4 linked regions of the Caenorhabditis elegans genome follow. The protein of the gene in region 1 interacts with the protein of each later gene in a pairwise test. Each region holds a gene or a part of one and is shown in the gene's direction. Other genes may lie near its edges. The genes, in order: nhr-91, ham-2, dve-1 and ifbp-1.

Region 1 (7,946 bases):
GGTCGTTCTACAACCTTTCCTCCTAACCACGATAAGATTAGCCACCACGGTTGCTCGTGCTGCACCCTGATTAGTATCCAACACTCTCTGGGCTTTGTAATCACTCATGTGTATAGCAGCGACCCTCTCACCTTTAAATTTGAATTCGTGTGTGCTGCTCATAGAGAGAAAAGACTCATATTCATCCACGTACCCTTTGCTTCATCATCCGCCTATACCCCCCCCCCCCCCCACAGCTTCTCCCTCCCGCTCACCAATCCCTCCTCCTCTTTCCCCATTTTATGTGCACTTTGAAAATAACCTTATGAGATCGTCCAGTGAAAGGAAATGGAGACAAGAAGAGGCGCCGGTGGAAGGCAGGGGCAATAGGAGGAGAGACCTACTGTCACTCTCGTTTGACCGGCAATAGGCCCGATTGAATGTACGCGGTTTTCACGAATTTCAAGGTCTGACCCACAAAATTTCGTTCGCCCTCCATGCATCTTTCACCCAATTTTGCTTTTGCGCCAATATCCGCGCGCTGTCCCCCCCCCCCCCCCTCCCTCCATCCTTCATCCATTCCGGCTTACCATCGTCTCTCTCTCGATTGTTGTGTGAATGTGTGTGTGACCTACCGACCTACAGTTTAACTTTCTCACTTTGTACTTTCTTGAATTATCCTCCTCTCCTCCTCAACCGCCTTGCGTTTCGTTTTTCTTTCTCGCATTTTCATTTTTGTTCGATTAGTATCCTGGTTACTGGATCAGCGATGTAGCAACAATGTGTTACAAGTTTTGAAACTAGCAAACTAGTTGAAAAAGTCTGGTCGATAGCTTATCACTTTTATGATTAACATGTTTCATTTATTTTCTATATCTGTTGCATTTCCGCCATCGTTGAGAATCGCTATTTTTCTAGAAACTAACTCAATAACTGTCAAAATGATGATTACCACGTTTTTTAGGCTCAAACCAAACCGGTATGTACTATTTCGGACAATAGAAAAACTGTATCACTTTGGAATAATTTTTTTTTAAACCTCACTGTATATTCCTTTGTAACAACTATTTGTATACAGCAGATATATAGGTTTGGTTTCAAGATATTAATAATATGATTAGTTTCAATACTATAGGAACATAAGTTTGATAAGCTTTTTCTCTATTTTCAAATTGAGCAAATTCTTGCAAATAACCGTAAAGTATCTTGCAAGTTAAATTGGTAAAATCTGTTTTTCTGTTCATGGAATGTTTAGGAACAATAATTGATTCTTTTTAATTGTAGCAAAACTGATTTGTCAAACAAGTAACTTTTTAATGTTAAAAACTCTATTGTTATTTTTATTCTCATAAACCTACCACTACAGTTTTGTACCTTCTCAACCCACCCGGCAACGGCTCTCAGTACCAGGCGGTGACGTCCAAATGCTGCCATTTGGCTCTCAACGAGCTCCGCCGCCAAATGCGTGACCTTGAAAATTGGTAGACGAACCCCCCCCCCCCCCCTTCCACCGTCCCGTCATTTGAAATGCTCTTTTGCACACTCTGATCTCACTTCGATAAACTCGACCGGCCCTACCATCCGCGCTTTTTGTACACTGCGATTCTGACTCAGAAGTGAGGAAGATTTTGTACCTCTTTCGAACACACAATTTTACTTTTTTTTTGCTTCAAAACAACTATACAATTATTCTGACTTTGTTCGGTCTTGATAATACATTTATTCACACGAGGGAGCTCATTTCCTATCTTCTTTTCCGTTCTGATTACTATACAATCGCTCAAAAACTGGGTAACAAAAATATTATCGCATTTTCACGACATCTACAAGTCTAAACCAATTGTTCTTCTTTGCTCCCCCTCCCATTTACATACCCCATTATACTGTCCCTACCGTATGTTGCCTGCTCCATCTGCATACATTAATGACCTCTGATTAATGAGCCTCTTTCAGTGCGATGGACGTTGCGGACTCGACATCTGAGACGCCACCTGTTTTTGACCATGACAACTTGGCTCTCGCGGCACAGACCAACTTGTTGCAGTTCTACCTGACACATTTGGCATCCACACTGGTGCCGCCAATGAAATTGGATATGAGAGACTCGATGACTCCAAGGTAATTGCATTTTCCTGAAGATGTGGAGAGCTTAGTTTCAAAATTTTAAATTTTCAGCTTCAGTCAAACCGAAAGCCCAAACTCTGAAACCGACGACTCCACTTCTGCAGCAAACAAAGTTCTATTCTCTATTCTTGGAACTCCAACAACAGACAGTACTTCGGTATGCGAACTGAATGAAAATTATTGAAATTATGTAGTAGAACAATTACAGAATGCCGTTTCAAAATCCAGCAGCAAGCTGTGCTCGGTATGTGGTGACAAGTCAACCGGTCTACATTACGGTGCTGCCACCTGTGAAGGGTATGTGCATTTAGATATTAAAAATACGGAGGGGGGGGGGGGAAGTTCATACTTCGAGCAACAACAAAAAACTTTTTTCATGTATTTTGAAATTTACGCAGTTTCTGCTGTTTTCTGACCTCTGTTTTGAATTGTGGTACTTCCAATTAAGACATTGATGTTAATAGGATGCCATATAATACTATTTCAGCACTACATAATTAACCAAATTTTTTGTTTCAAAATATACATCTGGAATTATCTTTCAATCTGTATCTCTGTAATTAATTAATTAGGCAAGTGTTTTTACTGTTTGATGCTTTGAAATAGTGATGCTTTGAAAATTACTCTAATATAAATATCCATGCCGATTTCATAATTTAATTTAGTTTCACTTCACTTTCTTCCCTTTGCTTATATCTTGTTTTCTATCGAAAGTTTTCATATTGTTATTTTTCTTTTCCCGGGTGGTCAGAAATCTGTTCCGCTCGCCCTCTTCCAGGATCAACATAAAAACTGTCTGGAGAGAAGAAGGGGGAGAGCTATTAACGGAATTAGTGATCGGATCGGGAAAGCGAAAGTGGTGGTGGGGGGCACCACACCAGTGAAAGTCCAGTTGTCAGCACCAGTGCGCTACATTTTCATCCGATGCTGGGGAGGGGATGCTGACGCCGTCGCCGCCGTCGTCGTCAACGTAGACACACGTCCGCCTCGGGTGCTGGAGGGGGGGGGGGGCAGTCAGATTTTGCGGCCTTCAGAATCCGCGATGATGGTCAAGGCCTTCAGCATGACACGACGCACCGCCGAACACCCAGTCAGTGAAATGTTGCGAAGGGCGACGGCCGGCCAAATGTGTCACGCACCTCGACCATTCGTTTCTCACTACAGCGCCCTTCTCGCCTCCCGGTTGACCCTCGGTTTGGAAGGAGGTGAAGTCGGTAGTGGAAGTGCACTTTGAATCGGTTTAGACGGTTTTCTCTAGGTCACACGCACCATAAGAACTTGTTTCTTTTTTTTTCAATGTGTTACTATAAAAGTGATACTATCTGAATAAACCCTAAATCATAAACCCTTAAAAAAATATTTTTTTAACTCACAATTTTTCCATTTACAGCATAAACGTTCCCAAAATTATAGGCGCTCATTGTAAATATTTCATCTCAGCTTGCTGTAAATATTTCTATTTGACTGTACTGTTGTAAAGAACTGTGATTTTTAGTTGATGTCCGTCGAAATAATTATCTGAATAAAAAAAAACGCAATTGACCCGCACTTACGATAACAATCAAGCTATTTCACAAAAACGGGAGAGCTGCGAAAGTTCCCCCGAAAGTTCAGAACGGCCTTCCTAAGATAACAATCAGTGTACCACACCGTACTCAAAGTACAGAGGACACTCGGATAACGATCAAAGTAGGTTTCAGTAATCGACAGCTCAGTTAGAGAAAGTTCAAGTAATACATATTAGTCTATATCATTATCAATCGGACATATTGTCTCTCCGGAAAAAAATGTCGGAGGTCGACAAGGTTTTGTTAGGGAATCGCGTCGGACAAGGTCGGTTCAACTGGTGCCATTTGCGTACCTCTTCTCGTCACCTCTACTTTTCGGGGCCGCTCCTCCCCATCTTACTCGCTGCCCCACCTCTCATTTCTGATGACCACGACCCAATTTAAAGTGATTTTTGTCTTTTAAGTTGACCTTTTGCACAGTTTTCGTAGAGTTTTTTAAAATTTTAATTTAGAATATTTTCTATTTTCAAAACTTTTAAGCTGCCTTGCTGTTTCTTAAATTTATTTAGAAATTTAAGTTTTAACACGAAAATAATAAAAAAAACTTATTTTTATTTCTGTATAGGCTCACGTAACTTTTTTTTGTGCTTAAGTTTTAATGCTTATAATTGTGTGGAACGGTTTTACATTTTTAATCGGAATAAAATACCATTTCTAAGCATAAAAAATGCATGGCATAGTTTGTTTTCTAACAGCGGAATGCCTCGAATTTGACTTAAAATTTCAGTCAACCTATAAATCATGCAACCCATAGATAAAAATTTCCTCGGATGCACTTAGTGCCAGAGTGTCTGATTTCGGTTTGATCTACGCAGGTCTACAAAAAATGCGGGAGTTGAGACGCAGAGCAACTGATTTAGCATGGTTAAAAACGTGCTGACGTCACATTTTTTGGGCAAAAATTTCCCGCATTTTTTCTAGATCAAACGGTAATGGGACAACATGGCACCACGTGCGGATAATCTATTGGTTCAGAAAGCCAAAAAGTAGAAACAAAAAAATAGTCCAAAAAATAAAATGCCACATTAGCTAGAAAAATTGCAACACGTTTTTTTTTCAAGACACCAGTAACTTCTCCCCTTTTTTCGTCATACAACTTGAAAAAAGTTATGACAGACGGAAAATGTGGGTAGGTTGCAAGGGCATCTTAAAGAACAAGGTCACTCGAAGACCCCAAAAAGAGACGTCTCTGTTGCTGCCTCTTTTTTTTTTGCGCATTTCACTTTACTATCATTTTAACCCACCACCTTTTCCTCCCCCACATTTTCTTTTCCGCCGTCTTCTGGTTCTTCTAGTCCGCCACTTCTCACGTCGTCTGATTTTGAATTTTTTTTCCCGCCGTCCGTCTCGTTTTCCAAATGTTTCCACTTGTTTTGTTCTGTTGCATTCATTTTTCTCGATTCTGAAATGTCAACAACTGTCATTTGGCCGCTGGTCAATTGATTTGTTCCATATGCTCCACCTGCTCGTAACTTGTTACTTGTAACCTTGAATTTTCAAATTTTGAAACCCAGCTAGTTCAAAATGCTCAACAACTACTGTATTTCAGGTGCAAAGGATTCTTCAAGCGGTCCGTTCAAAACAAAAAAGTATATCACTGCAGTCAAGACAACTGCTGTGAAATTGACAAACAAAATAGAAACAGGTATGTAAATTCGAAAAATTCCATTCAACAAAAAAAAAGTTCACAATAAACCGTAATTGACCTTCCAGGTGTCAATCTTGTCGTTTCCGAAAGTGCATCAGCAAGGGCATGCTAACCGAAGGTTAGTTTTTCGGCACGGAGAATAACCGCAAAATTGTTTGTCTTTTTGTAGCAGTGAGAGAAGATCGCATGCCCGGCGGGAGAAATGGGAACAGTATCTATAGCAACTACAAGCAGAGGAGGAGTATCATTAGGAAAACGAAAGATTATGTGGAGGAGCAGGAGAGAAGGCCGTTTCAGAGCCTTCCAAGTGGGAAAAAGTTAATAAAGGTGAGTGAGCACTTGCAGAGCGATATGTAGTTTTTTGGCAGCCCCCGACACTTTCGGGGTTTCCATACCATGGTGGCTAGTGGCTCGAGACCGGCGGAACCTCGAAAGTGTCGGGGGCTTCCAAACAACTACATATCGCACTGCGTTGCTCAGCCCCAGCTCTAAATGCGGGGCTGGAGCTGAGCCCCTCGCAGCCCTTTAGCAGCCCTAGTGCATTATGAGCCAGTTAAAAATTTGAAACAAATTATTGCCTTATTCGATTTTGCTATTTTACAGGAACTGGTTGAGATGGACTGCCTAGACCGGCTCATCAACCTAAAAGGACTCCGAATTAATCCATCTGCAAACTGCGATATTGCCCCTGCTTGCAAAAGGTTAACCAGAATAGGAGATGAAATTGTGGAGCAACTTGTTGAGTGGACGAAAACCTTGCCGTTTTTCGACGAACTACCCGTAGAAGCACACACCCACCTTTTGACACAACGATGGGCCGAGCTAGTATTACTATCTGCTGGATACTACGCGTGCTCGGTCTTTACTCCGGACTCCCCCGACACAACAGAAATGATAGACGAAACTGACGAGATCTCATTCACAAACCCACAGGTCAACCTTCGGCTACTTCAAAATCGATTATCACTGGTGCTCGGCAAAGAAATTCCATTGGAACACGTGGCGAAGTAGACTATCAAACTTAACTTTATTTATTCTAAATGATAATTTTCCAGAGAAGCCGGTCCGCTTGTCACCCGTTTCACGACCCTCCTCCATTCGTTCTCAAATCTCAAGGTCTCTCCGGAAGCGTACGTCTGTATCAAAGCTATCACTCTTCTTCACCTCTCCGCCGACTCGACACTTGATAGGAGTATCATCGACAAGGTCAACACGCTTCAGGATCACTTTGTCAAAACACTTCAAATTCATCTGCACCAGCCGGGAGAGGACGCGCAGACGACGAGCCTCGCACAGATACTTGACTGGTGAGTTTTTATTAAAAATTGTATCAGAGTTAGAAAAAATGCATGTTTTCAATAAGTTGATGTGCACCTTTGGAAGCCCACCTGACATAATTTTTAATTGCTTATTCATATCCGTAAAATTTGCTAAGTTGGCAAAAGTGAATAGTTTTCCTAATGATACCTGTCCAGTCACTGACTTTGGTTCTCATTCCAAAATAAATTATAGTCGTACATATTCTGATATACGACATTACTTTAAAAGGCTCTAATATTATATAATCATTCCATGATAAAACGTTCGCAATTTTCCAGGCTTCCGGATTTGCGAAACGCTTCGTCAGTGCTGCTTCATTCAAAAATGTTCTACGTCCCATTCCTGCTTTGCAAGAATCCGCGACGTCTAGTGTTCGACGAGTAGTCTTCCCCAATACCCTCAATACAGCTTTATTTCTCGGTTGTGCAATATAATTTAGTTCATTTTTTCCACTTATTATTCGTTTCTTTTTTTTTTGAAATTCCCCTGCCTCTTTCCAATTCTTCCCACGAAACCAAAAAAGTTGACGTTTTTTTTTTCTTCTCTGTCTCTATCAATCAATCTGTTTGATCTATCTATCATAACATAGACGTGTGGTCGGAAACATAATCAAATAGTTTCTATGATTTTGGATCCTACAGTATCATTTTCTACTACTTTTCTTCAAGTTGTGAATTTCTGGAATAATTTGTGTGCAATTCGTGATGTCTTTGTGTTCTCTCCCCATTCTCTGTTCCTATCTCGTTTCTCATTCACCCACTCTCTCAAACAATTTGTAGTGTATTTTTCTACGAAAGAAAAAAATTTATTGGTTTAACATTTTTTTTAAATTTTACAGATTACAGAATCAGAATTGATACATAAACCATATGTTATGTTGTTGAAACTGCTTCATTTCGAAGTCAGTTATTGAACTCGAACGCCGATCTTCCGCTAAAAAATAAAAATTCCGGAATTTTTGATTTGAAAACTCTGAAACTTACGTCAACAGCTGAACGCGAGGAGTTAGCATTGGTGAGTGGTGAGCCAGGCGAGAAGCATGAGCAAGACGGTCTGCTAGAAATGAAGACATCACCATCCATGCCTTCACCGTTTCTTTATGACGACGCCCCGGACCATTCCATTCGGTGGCGGTGGTTAGCAAGCTTTCGCCAAATTTTTCCCAATGTTTTCCACTGAAAATAAAGATCAATGTAAATTAATGTAAATTAATATTAAAAAATTATTTCAAAAAAAAAACCGGAAAAATCATGAAAGAATAAGTACATCTTATCTCACTAATGTGATAATCGTGCAACTCACGTGAT
Region 2 (6,927 bases), about 11 Mb from region 1:
TTAGTCCTGCTAAAATTGAAAACTTCTAAAAAATGTTCATTTCCATTTCCCTTTTTTCTCATATGTTCCTCCTACTTGCCCACCTAGACCTCTTGTCACTTTGCGTTCACCTGTCTGTCTTTTGATGTAGTATATGGAACAGTTTTCTTATCCATTCGCTATATCTCCATTACCTTACTCGCCTCTTGTTTCTTTTCTCTCGGAGATATATACCAGATAGACATTTGGCGGGAAAAGGCAAGATGTGCTATGATAGCTACTGATTATGTAGCCGTCAAGAAAAGGAACGCGACCTGTACGCGGGAGGAGGTGAATCCTTATTATACGAGCGCCTGGACACACGGCCAAGGCCAATCCCTGTTCGTGCCGAGAATCTCAACGGGGTAAGATTCACACTCTTATCCGTCACCGCTCTACAATTACTGTAGTTGCTGCGGCGTGTGTAGGCCCAAAAAAATAATACAGATAGATAGAAACTCAACAGTCATACTCAACATTTTCAAAATTTTGGTAGTGTGTGCCCAATTAAAATAGCACATTGAATAGAGATAGTTGAACTTGTTGATGCGGATCGAGAAAACCGGCCTCAAAGCATTGTGTGATTATGGGGTCGAATGGCAGTCAGAAGAGAGGGGGAGCGGGAGCGAGAGAGAGACAAAAATTCGAATATAATAGCGATGTTGGATAGTTTATTCTAGCATTGCGCAACCCGAATCAATTTTACAAAACTGGTTTTGTTGTGGTCGTCCAATAAGAAAAAAGAACACGAGAATCGAAGATGCGCGCAATCCTCAACTCAAGCAATCATGCTGTCTATGGTTTGAGGGCTTTTTTGGTGTATCCCTCGCGTCATTCTATTTTTTTTTGGGTCAGCCGTGTTTGGTAGAAGTTTCCCAACTGTTATTCGCTTGTGTTCTATACTAAAAAAAAGCTTGAACAGCTTGCCCACATCTGTTCCTAAGAGCATCGTGCTTCTATCTAAGACTCGCTTCCAACTTTTTTTTTTCAAAATTGAGAAAGCTAATCAACTCGCAATTGCTAGCCAAAATTGTTGCCACTTACTATCCCGACTGTGCTTGATGCCATTCCCCTCACCCCGTGCGTCCCGTCGCTCACTATCTCTATTCTGCATGGTATGCCCCGCCTCCAAAAATCGGGTAGGCGGGGGGAGTCATAGCCTTCAGCTCGTTCTTGCACTACTGCTTGCCATTTTGTTAGTCCAAGAGCACAGGTCACCGGATTACTGTAGTATTCATTTTAAGATTGCAGAAGCCGTGTGACAAATTTCGATTTTGAATGTTCTGTTATTTTCTCACTTCCTCCTCTCGAGCACTCTTACCTTCCCCGCCATACTTGAGCTACTGTAATGCATTGTCCAATCGCTGCTATGTATGCTTTTTCGCTACTTTTAAACAGTATCAAGTGAGGGTGTAAATACCTGGTTGGTGTCAGCCGGCGACGACCTTCTTGTCTCCGGAGAGAAGAGCTGCGTCTGAATACCTTTTCGAGTGTTGTACGCAAAACTTTTCAAGTAGTGGAGGTCTTGGTAGCCCATCCTACTTGTTCATCTATGAGCGCTCTTTCATTCAAACTGTCCACCGTTTTTTTCTTCTTCCTTGTTAGTGTTTCCTTTCAAATTCGATTTTGTGAAAATTTCAGCACCATTTTCTAAAAGCTTCATCAAATAACAAAAACATTTTTAGACAATGCCCTATCGTGCAGAGCTAAAACGTCCCGATTTGAAAGGCTCATTTCCCTGCTCGATTTGCCAAAAAGTATTCTGCCACAGTTCGTCTCTGAGTCGTCACCGGATGCAGGCTCACTTTAAAAGCTACACCTGTACCACTTGCAACAACGAAATTCCAAGTAAGTTTGAAAATGCAAGTTTGAGAAAAAAAAGAGAAATAGATGAATCAGAGTAGCAGGAGCTTGACTAACAATAGGGGAGAAAGAGCGAAACAATTTATGCCGCTATTGATGTTTTCACAGTTTTGTATCATGTTTTATCATATGATAATAAGAAAAAAGAGAGGGAAACTTAACTCGAGAACATAGCTATTGTTGAATTGTACGGAACTTATTCTATTGAAAATTTAAAATTGATCTAAAAATCTAAAAATAAAAAATTATGGGTTCTAGGTGATGTTTAACTTTCTAATTTATTTTTTCAAAATTGAATTAAAATTCTGAACGAATGTTCTATTTCCTGCTGCATTTAGTTTCTGTCTTCTACCAGTTTATTGCATTTCTACATTTTTCTAATCTCCCTCCCAATACATTTATTTGATCGGAAGTCTCCATAATCTGAAATGCGCGAAAGCTCAGTGGCATTGTTTACTGACAAGCTTAAACTCAACTCACACCCTCCGATTAGCACGTGGCTATATTGGGCATGTGTCAAACAAGGTTGATACAGTCTCCTTCTTTCCGCCAAAAAATTACATTGGTTATCTAAATATTGACACCCTTTCCAACTACTACTGTATTCTTAATTGTAGACATCTATATGGCATGGCAAACTGAATGAGGAGGTGTGCAAATACCGAGATAGCTCCGACTGTCAATTAGGAGTATCTATTTAGTAATATCTGTTAAGCTTTTAAAACAACCATGTGCACTTTTGGACTAGTAGCAAAAAGTTTAAAGGTGGAGTAGTGCCAGTGGGGAAATGGTTAACATCCACTTATATAGAGCCAAAATGACCAACATTATTGACAGTCAAAAAGTGGCAATAACTGTGTTCTTGCCACTTTTCGAGAAAACTATAGCAATGCCGCATGTTCGGATCTCTACAATGTTTGAATATTTATATTTGAAAAATATGTAGGCGACTGTTTATCGACGACTTTCAAAAAAGTAATTACCAATTTTAAAAACAAAATTAAAAATTTCAAAAAATTTTTGTAGCGTCGTTTGGCAAATTCGGCGTTATTTTTTTTCAATTTCCCACTGGAGCGTCTCCAGCTATAATGGAAAGCAGTATCATGTATTAAATAATAACAAATTGACTCTAATATTTGTGCAAGAATCTTTTGAAAAGACACCTCTGACCATATTACGCCACAGTTTTACAATAACACGTCTGCTATTTGCATTGTCTAATTGCCCCATCTTTCCATCCCGAGCGGCTTCCTAAGAGAGCGAGAGGCATAAATAACCGACGGTATGTATGTATTACTTAATGGTTTCTTTTCTTGGAATGGAAGGTAGGATGAACCTCCAAGGTCAGTCATTTGATGACCATCCATCAGCTAATTGTTGGCACGCCACTGTCGCTAAGTGAGCTTGAGAGCGAAGAATAGGGCCAGCGCGCGGGCAAAGTAAAAAAAAAACCACCGATTGTCTTCTTTCCCCATCTTCCGCAACAAAAATTGCAACCTCTTCTTTTTCTACCACCTTTCCAACATTACAATTTATTGGTTGTTCACTCGCCGTCAATCATTTGTTACGGTTCGCTGAGCATGGGGGTCGTTCAAGAAACTTTCGGCCAAAGCACCCAGCTTTTTTCACACCTTACTTCACCGCTCGCCTATACGTGGAATCCATACGGCGGCATGTTAGCAGGCAGATCAACAGGATTTGTTATATTACTCGTGCGCAATCCAACAATAAGCGGATCAACCAGTAGAATACCGAAACATAACATGAAAATGTTTTACAGCCTGACCCCTGCGTTTGTCGTTTTTTTTTGTGTTACTGCTTTGTCGGTAGGCAAGATCCGCTATTCTATAGATTTTCTATAGTGCGTATTTTCAAATTCAGACAAACATGCAAATGAGGGGGGTCGTCGTAGAACATTCGTCACATTGGCACCTAACATGCCTTTACGGGCGCGCGTATAGTGTCCCAATGTTGCGAATTTCATTTGATTGATAGACAGTTAGGCTCGGTGGCACAAAGAATGGCAATTAAGTGGAATATGGAAATAGCAATGCAGTTGGGGTTGGCAAATAGCCATTTACATGTTACTTTCGACAAATATTTAGATCATTGAGACATGAATTCAAAAGCTGGAGAAGGGTTCAAATAGTATTTGATAATTACCATAATAAAATGAGTGCGAAATGAGCCGGCACTGCTCTCACTGTTCAGTCATTAGGAAACCTTAAGAAACAATTTTGCAGGCAACGATACACTACGCAGTCACATGTATCGAGTACACAACATTACCCGAATGTTTATGTGTCGGTGTTGCAATTGGGCTTTTCCCGACAAAACAAGTCTTCACATCCATATGCAGAGTATGCTGAAAAATGGGACACCGGGGGAAGCGGCTGTTTTAGCTAAGAGTTCAGATGGTAAAGATCTACCCACAAATTTTGAAATCCATTAATACAAATTTGCAGTTGTAGATAGCACATCCGAGTCGGGCTCCCCGCGTCAGTCTCCACCCTTCTCGCCTGATTTGTTGATGCAAAAGCGTATGTTACAAGTTGCTGCAAACAATAACAACATTGGATCCATTTTCCCGACACTGCTCAAAAGCCCCGACTCCAAATCGATGTTCCCCCTGGATCTTTCTAACATGGGTCCTTCACAGTTCCTCTCAGCGTGGCTTGCCAACAATCCCATCAACACGGCGGCCCTTAATCTGGCAGCGCAACAAACACCGTCCAAAGTACGTTACAACTCTTTGATGTTTTGAATTCAAATGTATTACATTTTAAGGATTCCATCCAGTCTTCTAATATTAGCGATTATGACGACTTAGAAGTGCAGACAACTGAAGAAGACATCAAATTTGAAGTGGAAAGCAGTGATGTCAGCCCTCGGTCAGTCATTGTCAAGACTGAACCAACTTTCAAAAGAGAACTGGAACACGATGCTGATATTGATGTGGAAGGCGATGATGTAAGGAAAACTTATTGAAATTTTGAGGAAAATTTGTTTTTCACCCCATTAAACTTTAATATGTCATATTATGAAACTTTCAAAATTTTCAGGGCGAACCACCATTGAAAATGACGATTGATGACAAAAACATCCACATTTCCCATGATCAGCCTTCTCCAACGGTTTCGGATTCTCACATCAGTGGTGGATCGTCTAGTCATTCGGGCGAAAGTTTGAAATGCTTTGATTGTCAGGTTAGGAAGTTGTCTTAAATGGTTTTGAATTATAATTTAAAATATGAAAAAAAAAAATAAAAAACCATCCATTTTGCGAGCGCTATGTGAAGAGAATCTGGGAATTAGGTACAGTACTTCTGGTGATATGATTAGTCTTTAGGTTAAGTTTGATAATCCAGTCATGGACTGCTCCACTTTCAAGTTCACGCTAGGTTTCAGCTGGTTAAAATCTCAGGGTCCTATAGCAAAACGGGTGCTTTCAATTGTGATGATAAATTTATGAAAACGGATTCGAGGTTTTTTGACACACTCGATTCCAAATATCACAAAAAATTTTCCTGAAGAATTGTATGTATTCCAATGCTTCACAAATTTAGGGGTGTCCTACAAGAAGCGCGCGCACTGTAAAAACTCGTGACCTGTAGTTCTTCAGCGGCCACCACTACCGACTGAGTTATCCCCCACCCACTGATATTTTTAATAATTTACATAAGTTTATGATGTTTCAGGTAGCCAGAGGGAAGCTTGTTGCAGTTGAGGACAAATGTCGTGCCTATGAAAAGACCATTAGAGAGTTGCAAGTTCAAGTGGATTTCCTCCGCAAAATTCAACCGAATCCGATGCCACCCGTGATGCTGCCTCCTCCGATGATGCCTATGCCATCTCCAGGGCCGAACAATCTATTTCAAAATCCTGCGATGAGAATGTTGTTGAACAATTTGATTCACATGAACCGTCCCTCAGTGGTTCCCTAGATCCAAACGATTTCAATTTCTTTATTTCCGATTTTGATGGTGTCATCAAATCTAGTTGAACCACGTAGTCATTTTCATTCCTTGTTTCTAATCAGCATTTTGAGCCATTGAAATACAACAATCCTTTGAGCAATTTCCGAAATACTCTGAATCAAAGAACCAACAGCTTTTAAAGCGGTTTTGGTTGGCTTTTAAACTAATTGTCGTTTATATCTTTGTACATAATGCCTATTCTCGTAGCTACTTCTTATCTTTGCATCCAAATATTTCAAACTTCCAAAAAAAATCAGAGTGCTCTCATTCCTGACAATTGTATTTACCGCAATCTTAGAAACTGGTGGACATTTTCCAAACAATCCGAATCTACTTTACTTTTTTGTTGCAATAGCTTCAATAAAACGTAGCCTTAAATGCACTCAGCGATTTACCTAGAACGTCCTTTACATTACTTCATTGTTCTAAATGTTTCCTTTTTTATTTCTTCTGGTCCTTTTCTTGACTTTTATAGCATTACCCTTTTTTCCCGCCTTGACTTTTTCCTTCCCTCAATGATTTCATTTCATTATATTTGTGATAAATAATTTTCAAAGTTCAAAATGCAGGAAGTAATAAGCCATACAAAAAACTAGCAAAAACGAAACTCTCACAAGATGATGTTATCCTCGCATAAAACATCATTTTGTTTGAATGCAAAACTGAACCCGTTTCAGAGGGTAATGTGCTTTCAGGTGAAGCGATGTGAAAATTCATTTTTACCTTTTCGACCCACTAGACGTCACAATCAGCATAGTGAAAGGTTGAGCATGATTCATTTCTGATTTCTTCCTGATGTACTCAGTCGATTGTCTAAAACTTCAGCTTCAAGAAATTTCGTACTAGTTGATTCCCTTTTTGCAGCTTTCGTTTTCTTACATCAAAACGAAAAATTGCTAGATGAAATACTTACGAACTTGTGTTTGGCTTCAATTGTTATTCAAAATTTCTCAGGAGTGTATTTAAAGTATTCTAAAACCATATAAAACTCCAAAAATAGTCAAATCTATGTTATTGCAGAATAGATGCTTAAAATATTTCTCGAAAATGAATTAATATTTAGATAATTT
Region 3 (7,663 bases), about 15 Mb from region 1:
GTATAATCCCATCCGCGGGGTTGGTGTCTTCAAGCAACCGGGATTACTCTTTCCGGCTTATTCGAACCCCCTCTCCTTGCTTCAGTATTGCTCCAGATTGCAATTGTTTCAATTAGCCGCTACGATGACACCTAAACTAAATCCTCTAGGCTTAGGGGCACAAACATTCGTTTGTTAGAACTGATTATGTGGAGATGGAGCAAGATAATACAAGTGTAGAATACAATGATTAATCAATGAGTCTCACAGAGTTTTGCAAAAATTCTGAAAAATTAGATATTTCCAAAACCACGTTTTATACCAATTGTTGATTTTTGACTCATAGTAATTTTAACAATAAACCTTGTTAGATAAATTTCTAGAAACGGATTTGAGTTTTGGTGTGGCGAAGTATCAAAAGTGTACACATTATCTTATCGACAATAATCCCAAACCCACTCGGAGCTCCTAAGTAAATAGTGACTTGCATTCCAACCACTGTCTTATCTATAACTGGCAGACCCCCTCCTCTCCCGAAACGCGCATCCTTAAAATTTCTATAAGTAACTTAACCTTTATCTCTGCTGACACATCGGGACAATTCTAATTCTGATGCGCCCCTTATGCGATGTGTAGCGTCGTTATTTTCGATTTGACGGTGAGGAAAAGAGAAAGGCGGGGTTATAGGGTAGAAGAGTGAAGAGAGAGAGAAAATCTTGAACAAGTGGATTGTCTTTGTTCGATTCTTCTTTTTTCCTCCCTCAACGACGAAGACTAAGACGATGCCATACCACAACGACCCGAGGCTTTTCTCGAACTAGTAGTACATGATCGTTTCTACAGATGGGGGAGGGTTGGCAACCAGCCCCATCTTTCTTTTTTCCACTGTTTTCTACCTCACCTACCTATTTCTCCTCATCTTCCGCATTCTCTGCCTCTTTTAGACTCTTCCATCCGGTTCCTACATTATGCCATCTCGATCCCGACCTCCCCCCCCCTCAACCCCTCCTTACTACTTTCGCTCCATTCGTCGTCTTCAATCTCTTCTTGGCGACGACGTGGTCGCCTTCTTTCAGATTTTCCATATCAAATCTTGTTTTCGTTTTCGTTTCCATCCATTCTCATCTTCAACTTGTCTTCAGTAGCGAGTAAGAAGTAAGAAGAATGAGTACATGTCGCCTGATTCGTTGTTTTTATTTGTGTCTTAAGATTTCTAACCCCCTCTTGGACAGACTGCAAATCTGTTATCCAAACTTGGTGTCTCCCGTTCTTTTTTCATTAATCGCCTTAACAAATCCCACTATCTCCCTTTCTTCCATTTTTGTTGCTCTCCGCTCTATTCCATCGCAATTACGGTTGAATAGGTGCGCGCTTTCTTTTCCACCTTATTTGCTCCAACTAGCCACAACTACCATATCTCTTTTGCTCTTGCTCTCTCTCTCTCTCTTACTCGCTCTTTTTCTATCTATCTTCCCCGCATCATAGAAAGCCCCGCCTCCTCCATATCTATGAAAAGTGGGCGGGAAGTCCGCACACCAATCGGAGCGCAGAGCTAAATCTATCCAACTATCTTCTGGCTCTTCTTTCGATTCTTCTGCTATTAGTTTATCTCGATTTCTCATTTTTATTTTAAAAATTTCAAATATAAAGTTTCATTCAGCTAGATATGTTCCCAATGAGGGTAATCGTGGAAACAGTTCGCTCTCAACATTGCTTGACATGCTCAAACGAAGGACACATGATCACAGACACTTATGCAATTGTCGCAGGGACCACTACATTAAATCAACTCGTCGAAACTGTACTAGCAGCTCTTGGACATTCGAGCATGTCGACAAGTGCTCGAGGTTAGTTGAGAAAACATTTTGAAAATTGCCATAGACCTCGTGACTAGCTAAACTATTTTGGTATTAGTAGTACACATTCCTTATCTTCTTTTCTTTCATTTTTGTTCCTTTTTTTCATTCGCCAAAAACGGATAACAGATCTATCTTGTGATTGACAGATTTACCCTACTCTAGGCGAGTAAGTAATTGAGTATTGAGTGGGATCTCCTTTTCTTGACAACTACTTTCAGTTTCAATTCAATCTCATTGAAGCATAACGTGGTTGCGCAACTTCGCTATGCTGTAAGAAGATATACATCTTCCTCCTACCCCGAGATCACCCACTTTTTTTTGGCTAAGACGACCCTACCCACTCATGTGTTTTGTTCTGCGCCTCTTGCCAGATCAACGGTATTTCTGCGATTTCAGCGCCCTCCTCCCATTTTCTCACTTTCACGTTTTCTTCCACCTTAGTAGAAAGTGAAACAGACTGTCGAACCTGTTCTTTTCTCGGCGGCTTTGCCTCCTTGGTATCTACTTTCCCAAAGATTATGCAATCATGTGAAAGGGAAATCGGAAAGAAAACGAAGGGAATTGCATAGGGTTTTTTAAAAAAATATTTTGCATTTGTTGTCCGAAAATCGATAATTCAGAAATTTCAGGCCTCATACAAGTAAACAACTGGAAACCCTTGCCATTCGATCAAATTACTGAAAATTTAGATGACACTGTGGAAAACCTCTTCAAAGATATATCATCACATGTAGTGCTAAAAATATTGTCAAAACCGTAAGTGTTTCCTGAAGTATTCTTGTTTCACTCCGCACTATAACCTCATCTATCCCATCCAATCCCGCTCCAACCAGACGACTGTCGATCGGGAGGTTTGTGTGCTCCGGGGGGCTCATTCTGTAAAGGTGAGCAAAATCGCGCCTCACAACCCCTATACATCCTCTTTAGAACTACTCAAAGAAAATGGCAAACATAGGTATGTACAATGCGCGCCTCGCACACACACACATATATATAAACACATTCAGACATGTGTACAGGAGAGAAAAAGTGATGGAAGGAAAAAAGGGGGAAAACTCATTGAAATTGGCGGTGGCTGAAAAAAGATACATTTTGGGGCGCATTTCTAGTCATCAAAAGTCAAAGGAGCGGGAGGGTCCGGGGACCAACAAAATTATTTACCTAGATCCCCGTATGACTTATCCTATCTGTTTGCGGATTATTGTCGCTTCCTTCATTTCTTTATATCGTTCATATTCTATTGATATTTGGCATTTAGTTTGCTATCAAACATGGCACTCACAAATACCGCAAAAGCTTTAGCGCTTTGTCCTGCGACGCAATTTTTATGAGACCAATGAAAGCACAAACCATTCACGGACCGAATTCGATTTTTATAGCCCTATCCCTGGGCACACATATGCCTATACACACACACAATTTTATGACCATCATCATGATTTTCTTTCAGATCTACGGATTCAAATTCTGTGCAATGTATAAGTGAGGTGAAGAATAAACTCCTGAAAGCTGCAGTAAACAAAAATCCCAATGTTTTAACAAATGTGGATAATCAGCAGGTTAAGGTGGGTAGCTGCTATTTTCTCAATAATTCAATTTCAATTCTGATAATTGCAGGATGTCATCAACACAATCATTGCCGGAGATGAAACACTCTTGAATTCCGAACAAATTGGTGCAGTCAACGAATGGCTTGATACGCTGGAAACGAACGAGGATCGTAGAAGGTAAGATAGCGCCGCCCATGCAATGAGTTGCGAGCCAGTCAGCCAACCAGCCACCGTAATCCCGCTGTGCGTGTTGGATGTGAATAGAGGGGGGGGGGGGGCAGAGTTTGAGAGAAAAGACAGAGAGCAGTGACACGGGGGGTAGCGCCAAGTTAAGCCGCTATTCGGTGCTCGAGTTAAGCCCCCTCTCGGCTTGTTTGTAGAAATAGACTTTATGGATTGGTTAGGAATTTTGAGCTGCAGGCAGGATTGTGTATACATTGTGGTTGAAGGAAAAGTTATGAGAGAGCACCCATTTTGTTTATAAATTTTTGGGGAAATTTAGGAGATGGAATTTTGCTGTCTCTAGATATCAGGTAAAACCGATTCCTATCGGATATCATATAAACAATATACTTTTCCACGTCTGTGCATTCTTATTCACATCTGAAAAGAGAGGACTTAACTTAAATAGTTAGTTTCGTTTAATTTCCACCGCAAGGATTCATTGGAGCTCCCCCCCCCCCCCCGTCAGAATTTCAATTTCCTGAGGTTGTCTTCATCAAAAACCCGCCTTTTGTTTTCAAGTGTCGTAACAATCAGAATGGATAGGCGTCGGGGATTAACAAGCCGGCAGATTGTATCATTTGCTCTTTCTTTGGTGCCCATCATCACCATTCATCTTATTAGTGACAGCCCCCACACACAATGTGCGAAAACGATGATTGTTTGGGATTGGAAAAGAGTAGGGGATGGGTTCAATGGGAAGGGGAAGGCAAAGTGATGAAGATATACGTGAATGAAGTTAGAAACACTAGTTTATACCGAAGTATCTAAGAATTGCTTTGAAGACAAGTTTAATCTATAAAAAATTGTTTGAAACTGTAAAATCGTTATATAAAATTGATTTTTTTTACTTTATTACCCATTTGCGTAGCAGAAAACGTTTTTTTTTTTTTTTTTTTTTTTTTTTTTTTTTCTAAGCCTAAAAATAAAAAACTACACACGGTTTTATTTTAAAATGTTAAAATTTATTTTTTCAAAATGAGGTGAAATAATCCACAAGTACCAAAAATTTTCCTTGTTCTTAGTGCTAAAATAATAAAACACCGTACGCCTTCTATTATTTGCCAACTTAAAATGGTTGAGTTCAAAAATTTTTGAAAATCTAAAATTTTTAGGAGACGATTCACCAAATATGTGGCTTGTCAGAATTTAACAATTACCAAAACTCAAGTTTTATTTCGTAACTCAACTATAAATTCCACTAAGCCGGTTGACAGTACGGTTGATGCCCGGATAAGAGAGCAGTATTAGACTGAGATGAAGATAGCTAATTTCAAAAAAAAAACGAGACAAAAGACAAAACGATCAAATTCGGTCGTTCTCTAAGTGCCCTCCATCATGCCATTGTGTCTTTCTCAATTTCTCAAGAGAAGGAGGCTAAGAGATCAGGACTGGTTTTGGCCCCTTGTTGACCCGTGAAAACATCTCTGAAACTGCCACTGCCTGCTGATCTACATTCCCGAGACAACAAAGGGAAGAAGTCAAATTATAAGTGATGGAGACAGTTGTTTTCCACATATTCCTTTATTGAAACTCCTTCTTCCAACGAGAAGAAAAAAGGAAAAAGAAAAAGCTGAAATCAAGTTTTCCAGTCATCGAAGCACATCCAAATTTTCGAATTTCCAACTGTACAAATAATTGAGTTGTGTTGTGAGTAATCTTATTGTGACATACAGACACAAGAGAGGATACAAAACATGTACATATTGCTCTGAGGGAATGGGAACAGCAGAATAAAGGGCAAAATGGGAAAGGACGGCGGTGACGCATTCTGTAAAGAGTAATAAAGAATAGAAAAAGGGAGATTGAATGCGTTGTGTGCATACAGTGATATATCCAAACTGTTACCCGGGGGGGGGGGGGGGGCGCAAAAACAAGAAGAAGGGGACCCAGTATAACTATCAGAATGGAGTCGTGATTGGAGAAAAAGTGTCAGTAAAAAATGATTAAAAACTATCCTTACAAAAAACTTGTATACGAGTAATTACACCGTATTTCCTCTATTTGTATTGTACCACATTGTTCAACTTTAACTGTTTATATCTCAGTTATCGTTTGTGCTATTCGAAGTTGTTAACTAACAAAATATTTTTTCAGTTATTTTTCTATAGATTCGTAGTTAAAAATATATGTATATCTTTAAAGTGTATTTATACTCTTTAAAATGAATTAAGATATAACGTTTCAAAGTTAGGTAGTCGGGTGCAATACAAATAGAAGAAATACGCTACATGATTTTCTTTTCATTCCACTCTCAAGAAAGATAAACGCCTGCTTTCATATTACTTTCAGTACACATAATAATGTATGTATTTAATTTCAGCCCAACACAAGTACAAAGATTCAACACTCTTTACGAAATTCCACGTCTTGATAAATGGTTCAAATCCGATGCAAATCCATCTAAACAAAAAATGAACAATTACTTAAGCCAGCTCAATCAGAGTCCGTTCAGAAAGAACAATTCCAAGATCAGCTATCAACAGGTGAATTTAATGCGCCTACATATTACTCCATTAATCAAATGAATTTCCAGATTTGCAATTGGTTCACACAAAAACGCTCGAGTTCCCGTACCTTAGCTCCAGTAGACCTAGTGCAGGTCTCGTCAGCTCAGACAGCGGCGCAGCTGCTCCCGGGATTCCAACTCAACTTGCTCCAGTCCCTGTTTGGAGAACAACGTCAAAAATTTGATTTTTACGACAAACTGGATGAAACCAAGATTGTCGGCGGCTCCGACTCGCCATCTCCAGCCGATGATGAGATTCATAGCAATTCAGATGAAACTATTCAAGATACTTTGTTTTCCATCAATATTAAACCAGAACCGGAAATTGTAAGTTACGTTTGACTGTTTGTGCCATAGTTAGGTTGATTAGCGTTGCTCGTGCTGAAAAGCTTTGAAAAATCACGCTAAAAACGGATTTTCGGCTATTTCGATTCTGATTCACATTAAAGATAACATCTCCCAAATTGCTAAATATTACCGATAAGGTTATAAAGACCTAACACTACGGCCGAAAATCTGAATTTATTCCAAACTGTCAGCGTCGGCTGAGCGCCAATTAAAAATATTTTTCGACACAATTATGGTCCACCTTTAAAAATTATTCATCCCAAAACAAGCAACATTTCCTACAGGATTCAATTGCATCCTCCCCGGATATGGCAAACTCAATGCGCGAATCATTGTCCTCGACCTCCCCAAAGCTTCTCAGCGGGCTCGACCTCGGAGCATTCAGCACCCACTCATCATCCACCAACTCCATGCAAAACGCCAACTCATCAGGTACAACAAAGAGCTTTAAAACAGACAGGCTAACGGAAAAGAGAGGGAGATGGGTTGAACCAAGAACTCATAAATTAGAAGCGAGCACACACACACAAACACACATAGACATACACAAAGTGCGCGAAGACACATAACAAAGGGAGAAATGTGGGGCGTCGAATTTCGCACAGACAACCATTACGATCACTGAGATCTGAGGAAAAAAAAATGAGGCTAGGTATTGTGTTTACAGAAATAAAACAGAAAATCAACTGCAAACTTGATTTTGAGAAATATTCTAGGGATTTTGTACTGGCTCAAACTTATCGAGAAGGTGGCCATGTTCATGATACTCAGTCTGAAAACCTATATTGGTTGCTATCTCTAAAACGCTCTTAGATTGCGTTTGCTATGCATATGAAAAATGACTGCATAAAAATTCTCTATCTTTTCGACAAGAAAACTTTAAGGTGGAATTTTACTTCTATTTTTCGATAAAATCACTGACGCGGAACGTTTGAAAAAATTCAACGATAAAGCAAATAATCTCCGTTTTAGTGTTTTCAGCGGCTCGCTCACGCCTGATGTTCGACCCACTCACCGAGCTACCCGTCCTCGAAAAATGGTTCGAAGAGAATCCTCACCCGACATGGATGCAAATCGATCAGTACACACAATGCTTGAACAACTGCGCTTATCGAGAGAATTATCCGCATATTAGTCAGCACAATGTGAAGGTAATATTCTATATTAATACTGATTACTAGTTATCGAATTCGAAT
Region 4 (5,023 bases), on another chromosome or scaffold:
TTTTTGTGTTTTTTTCTTTCTCTACCCTCTTTATTGTTCTTGTTTTCTGACCGTCACTTCGCTTTGCACCCCGTTTTTGAATTTTAAACTCCTGCTAAAAGTTATAAATACGAATGTGGGAAGATCGGCTCTTTTTGTTTGGATACTGATGAAAAGTCCTATCAGCTTAAAATCATGAATAGTTTAACAGCACCTTCTCAAGCTTGAAAAAAAGTAAATGTGCAAATGCTCTGCTCAAAGCCCCGAGTTGAAACAAAGTTGTTTACAAAATTATCTTGGTTTAGGTTTTTTGTTCAAAATATCAGTAGTGCAATTACACATTGTTTATTCTACATTTTTAGATCCATAATTTTCTAAAACAATATGATAATTCTTTCTGAATCATCTTTTTTTTCAGTTAAAGGCACTTATCGAGAATTCTTCTTCCCCCCATTTATTTTGCATATCTATTGTGCCAACATGAAATTTGCATTTCTTCCCATTTCTCTTCATTTTCCTTTCATCCAAACATCCACGTTTTCTTCCCCATTGTGCAACGTGGTGCACCATGTCACAGAGAGAGATCTAATCTCCATATTTCTTTCATATAGTTTTTCTTGAGCTTTCAGTATCAATGAACTATGCTCCAAATAAATATTGGTCGGCCTAGCACATCTATGGATGGCCTTATCGGAAGGTTTCTCTCACTTATTCTCATGACTCGCCAATTCGACTTTCACTTGTGTTTCTATCTTTTCAAAATGAAATCACACACCTCTACTTTGGTCTTCGTACCGCTTATCAGTTGTTGGGAAGGGTTTTTCTCCAATAAGGAGGGGTTTAGTGACCTTTCAAGCCTTGTTGACAATTAGCCATTATAGCGTCTAGGAAAATCTAGAACTGATAACAAATAACAAAACATCTAAAATCTAGAAACAGGAACATGTTGATCTGAAAATTGAGCAAATTGATGTTTTGTGCAACTGTGATAAGTCAGAAATTTTGATCACTTTTGATAATAGTTATTCCCCCAACAAAACATTTGAAGGTCTCAAAAACAGAGGGAGTCTCCTCATTTTTGCATTTTCGGAGCCAATTTTGAGTTGCCTTCTTCCATTCCAATTCCTTTATTAAGATGCAGATCCGATGCTAATGATATGCACTATCCATACGTCTTGTGGAATATGAATGAGGAGAGGTCGAAGACTCGGAACCCACCTCTTTTTCTTTTTATTTTTTCTCCTGCAGCTTTTCTTTGCCAATTCTTTGTACACAACTATAGTAATACAATGTGCTCAATGCGTCACTCAGTGCTTCGCCCCTTACTGTCTCCTTCTATTCGTCGATTATTCATAGAGTTCTTCGTCATCCAAAAAAAGTGTTACACATCGCTGTAATAGTTCGGACCCACGCATGCTCATGGTTTTGATATTTTCCATTGTTTATTTGAAATAATACAAAAAAATATTCGATTACCCTAATAGTTTACCAAGTCATGGAACAACCCTGTTTGTGTGCAACCAGAGCATCAGCGTTCTGTTATCAGCTGCCGGCTTTTCTTCTTTTATCACTAAAAAACCATGCCTAGTTTTTTCACCTCTCGACCCTATTCGTCTCGGTCAGGAATCTTTCTTATCTCTAGAATTTCTCCCTCTCTTCCATCACGAACTTGAAACGCGCCATTCCTATTCCTCTACCCCATCATTCTTGCAATCATTCCTCTCGTGGAAATGGGCTCGTTCGCTGAGTCGGCTGCTCTTCTGCAGGCATCGATGTCTCTTTCTCCAACACCTTCTATAATTAACAACAATAATACTGTCGATTATTCTCTATCACTCCAGATGCTCGCGGCTCCGAACGCCGTCTCATTGGCCTCTGTCAACGGTTCTGCTTCACTTCTAACTGCAACAACTGCTGGAATGAAGGCGAATAATAATTCAAATGAGAAATTACCAAGACAACAATGTTACCTGTGTGATTTGCCACGCTGGCCGTGGGCAATCATAAATGATTATATTGAGCCAGTTTGCAGAGGATGCGTCAATTATGAAGGATCAGACAGGTTTGTTTGGAAATAATGATGATGAAAATTCCTTTCGATTTTAAAATTTTCCAAAGTGAAAGTCACAAGTTTTCTTATATTGATACAGGACATGAAAATTTGACACCCTTTTTCTTATAAGACTGCAAGCTAAAAGTTTGTTCTGTAATAGATTTCCTAAAGTTTTTAAAGAATTTTTTTTTTGAAAAAAATTAGAAAAAGAACATATTTTTTTGACGATTTTTCTGCCGAAATTTTTTATAAATTGCAGGACTTCACGATCTTATAGTTTTAAAAAGGTTTCAAGACCAATTGAACTTTTTTTGTTTTTTGTCACCAAATATCTTTTTCTGTTTCAGAATTGAACTCGTACTTGAAGAAACACGCCAACAAAAGAAACTCCAAGGAGTTGGAATCAGTGATCCACAGAATGCAAAGACATCCCTCCGAGATATTACACTTACACAACAACAACCCCTTCAAACATTACCAGTCACTTCTGCTAATGGAATCGGAAGGATAAGCCCACAAAGGACACCTCAGCCAACGGTACTTCCCACGTCCCCATTCCATGTGCCAACTATGAACAACTTGGAGGTAAACATATAAAATTGAAAACTGCAATAGTTTACAAATTTATTTTCAGCAAGTTCTGACCCATCAACGACTTCTGCAAATGACACAAGCCAATCCTCGGGCGGTTGACGATCTTATTCAACAGTCTCTTCGAAGCTTGGGCCCAAATTCTCATCTCTTGGCTCCATTCATGATGAGCATGCTTCCAAGCACAACTTATTCAAATCCAAGAAAACGTGAATCTGACGAAGAGCAGAAGCCTGAAATATATGGAAAAGTGCAGAGAGGTATGTCAGTTAGAATTTAAAATTGACATCGTCCCAAAAAACCGGTTGTTGCGTAAAGTAGTAGTGCCCCCTTCTCTCTCTCCGATTAGCCCGTGTATCGTCTCTCTGTCACCCTCTCGAATTGCGTAATACCGATAGACCCGACAGAAAACCAGCCGAATTTAGAAGAATTAGAAGAAAAGAGTAGCGAGTTGAATGAGTGACCTCGAGAGAAATAAAGGGCTAGATATGGGGTCAACACTTTGAAAACGGAACCGGTTTTAGAGGATGGTAGTGTAGTTGGTTGTGGCGTCGTTGTCGGCGCCTGGCACCCAGGGTCATCACCCCCTCATCATCATCATCTTCTATTTTTCAGGCGATGCCCAAACGACAACTGCCTCGCCAACCTCAACTCATTCACCAGACCATCCGGGAGTTAAGGATCGGAGAGGGATCGCCCCAATTGAGAGAGTTTTGAGATGTACACTGTGCAATGAACGTCTAGAAGACACCCACTTTGTACAATGCCCAACAGTCAGCATTCACAAGTTTTGCTTCCCATGCTCGCGGAGCAGCATCAAGGATCAATGCAAGAGCAGTGATATGTACTGCCCATCAGGCGATAAATGTCCATTAGTCGGATCAGCAATGCCATGGGCATTCATGCAAGGAGAAATTGCACAAATCCTCGGTGACGAGTATGACGAGTTCAAGAGAACCCGAGAAGCTCACGGTCTTGCTCCACCGATGGGTGCCAACGCAGCGACTCTCGCCGCGGCAGCCGCGGCAGCTGCACAGGTATGCCCTTATCAGATTGTGTGAAACTAATTTGTTTGTCCAATTTTGTTATTTATGTTTGGAACTAAATCACCCGCATTTTGCATGGTTTTCAGTTGAGACGGAGACAAAATGCTCAAAGAGCCCACCCTCATCGCACTCTTACACGATCCACAATTAACACTTCTACCTCATGTGTAAGTGATTACTAACATATGACATTGACTAGCATGCAAAAAATTGATTATCGGATTCAAATAAATATGTTGCATGCCCCTAACATCTATTATTTAAACTGATTTTTTTCATTTTCTGAATGAATTAATTTTCAGAACGGCGCCAATCAAACATCTCCAGCCTCCACAACAACTTCTGCGGCTTCTTCCACATCTGCCGCCACGTCACCACAAAACTGATAACCTGTGACGTCACGGAGCACATTAGGCACAAATATTTTTTCTTTCAATCTCTCTTTTTTCTCAGTCCCACTGAAACCGTTCAAAGCTGCACTCAATGCTTTTGTCTGCTTCACCACGATCTCTACTTTTTCCCCCTTTCCAAGTTTTCTTTCTCTCTCTCTCTCTTCGGTCCCAACTACGGTGTGATTTCAAGGGACATTTGGTAATAAATCTTGAGATTTTTTTCCTTTCTCATTTCCCTTTTCCTCGATTACGCTTTTCACTGCTTTTGGGATTTACGGTTTCTTTTCTTTTTTCAGTCCAAAAACTTTGTAATGTTCGTACCTTATCCCCAGTCCATTCTCCCCTGGAACATTGAAAATTCAACTGCCAAACAAATCAAAAAACAACAATCCCACCAAAGCTTTCAGTTTATTTTTTCATTAATTGAATAAAGCTTTGATCAGAAAACTTAAGATATAGTTTGAGAAATTGCAAATTTTCACATATTCTCTCACGAATTCCAAGAATTCAATGTGAAAACTCGGTATAAATTCTACAAAACTTCGAATGATTAGAATTAATCAGAAGGATGGAAGGAAGATATTTTAGATCTGTTCACAAAAATAGTTCCAGTCCTCGATTTGGGCTTCAACAATCTGCGACACCATTGCGGATGTATCTCAGTATGGAAATATAGCATGACGCTTCTGTAAATGTTTCCGGAAACTCTTATCAACACGTTCGACCAACGTCCACTCACCCGTCCAGCGCATGAATCGATAGAAAACTGACGGACAGAAAAATGAACTGATACCAAATTGCTGAATTGAGTTTGAAGAGTATTGTGCAATTGATCATGTCGATCAAGTGAAGTGTGTCTTGCAGCACACTCTGAAATATGGAAAAAGGAGATTCCGGTAAAAGTATTCATGTGAAGATGAAAATTGTTTATGTATTTGTTCTCGAGAATAAACAAAAGTTGA

The links.
Region 2: the proteins of nhr-91 (region 1) and ham-2 interact in a two-hybrid assay, tested with the Caenorhabditis elegans proteins (2 studies listed by BioGRID).
Region 3: the proteins of nhr-91 (region 1) and dve-1 interact in a two-hybrid assay, tested with the Caenorhabditis elegans proteins (2 studies listed by BioGRID).
Region 4: the proteins of nhr-91 (region 1) and ifbp-1 interact in a two-hybrid assay, tested with the Caenorhabditis elegans proteins (2 studies listed by BioGRID).

The regions. Positions count from the first base shown.
Region 1 is NC_003284.9:15,307,443-15,315,388, forward strand, and holds nhr-91 (Nuclear hormone receptor family member nhr-91), read left to right. Parts: upstream 1-1,932; 5' UTR 1,933-1,936; coding exon 1,937-2,097; intron 2,098-2,154; coding exon 2,155-2,260; intron 2,261-2,311; coding exon 2,312-2,400; intron 2,401-2,957; exon of another isoform or gene 2,958-3,251; intron 3,252-3,926; exon of another isoform or gene 3,927-4,061; intron 4,062-5,220; coding exon 5,221-5,316; intron 5,317-5,384; coding exon 5,385-5,437; intron 5,438-5,488; coding exon 5,489-5,646; intron 5,647-5,922; coding exon 5,923-6,326; intron 6,327-6,374; coding exon 6,375-6,626; intron 6,627-6,799; exon of another isoform or gene 6,800-6,868; intron 6,869-6,917; coding exon 6,918-7,023; 3' UTR 7,024-7,452; downstream 7,453-7,946. Other genes in the region: glb-28 (Globin domain-containing protein), read right to left, coding at 7,542-7,572, 7,623-7,814, 7,942-7,946. UniProt on the Caenorhabditis elegans protein: Orphan nuclear receptor.
Region 2 is NC_003284.9:4,552,988-4,559,914, forward strand, and holds ham-2 (Zinc finger protein ham-2), read left to right. Parts: upstream 1-1,697; 5' UTR 1,698-1,706; coding exon 1,707-1,866; intron 1,867-2,511; exon of another isoform or gene 2,512-2,655; intron 2,656-2,945; exon of another isoform or gene 2,946-3,387; intron 3,388-3,755; exon of another isoform or gene 3,756-3,894; intron 3,895-4,124; coding exon 4,125-4,298; intron 4,299-4,346; coding exon 4,347-4,618; intron 4,619-4,668; coding exon 4,669-4,851; intron 4,852-4,943; coding exon 4,944-5,087; intron 5,088-5,578; coding exon 5,579-5,824; 3' UTR 5,825-6,421; downstream 6,422-6,927. UniProt on the Caenorhabditis elegans protein: Probable transcription factor that acts downstream of egl-15, to promote migration of the HSN motor neurons from the tail to the gonad primordium during HSN cell differentiation.
Region 3 is NC_003284.9:427,776-435,438, reverse strand, and holds the start of dve-1 (Homeobox protein dve-1), read left to right. Parts: upstream 1-1,639; 5' UTR 1,640-1,645; coding exon 1,646-1,826; intron 1,827-1,938; exon of another isoform or gene 1,939-2,467; coding exon 2,468-2,594; exon of another isoform or gene 2,595-3,288; coding exon 3,289-3,403; intron 3,404-3,455; coding exon 3,456-3,565; intron 3,566-5,933; coding exon 5,934-6,096; intron 6,097-6,146; coding exon 6,147-6,446; intron 6,447-6,751; coding exon 6,752-6,899; intron 6,900-7,439; coding exon 7,440-7,618; intron 7,619-7,663.
Region 4 is NC_003283.11:13,369,585-13,374,607, reverse strand, and holds ifbp-1 (Interferon regulatory factor 2-binding protein 1 & 2 zinc finger domain-containing protein), read left to right. Parts: upstream 1-1,587; 5' UTR 1,588-1,709; coding exon 1,710-2,041; intron 2,042-2,379; coding exon 2,380-2,617; intron 2,618-2,666; coding exon 2,667-2,883; intron 2,884-3,238; coding exon 3,239-3,660; intron 3,661-3,755; coding exon 3,756-3,836; intron 3,837-3,971; coding exon 3,972-4,055; 3' UTR 4,056-4,513; downstream 4,514-5,023. Other genes in the region: srx-125 (7TM GPCR serpentine receptor class x (Srx) domain-containing protein), read right to left, coding at 4,618-4,747, 4,801-4,931.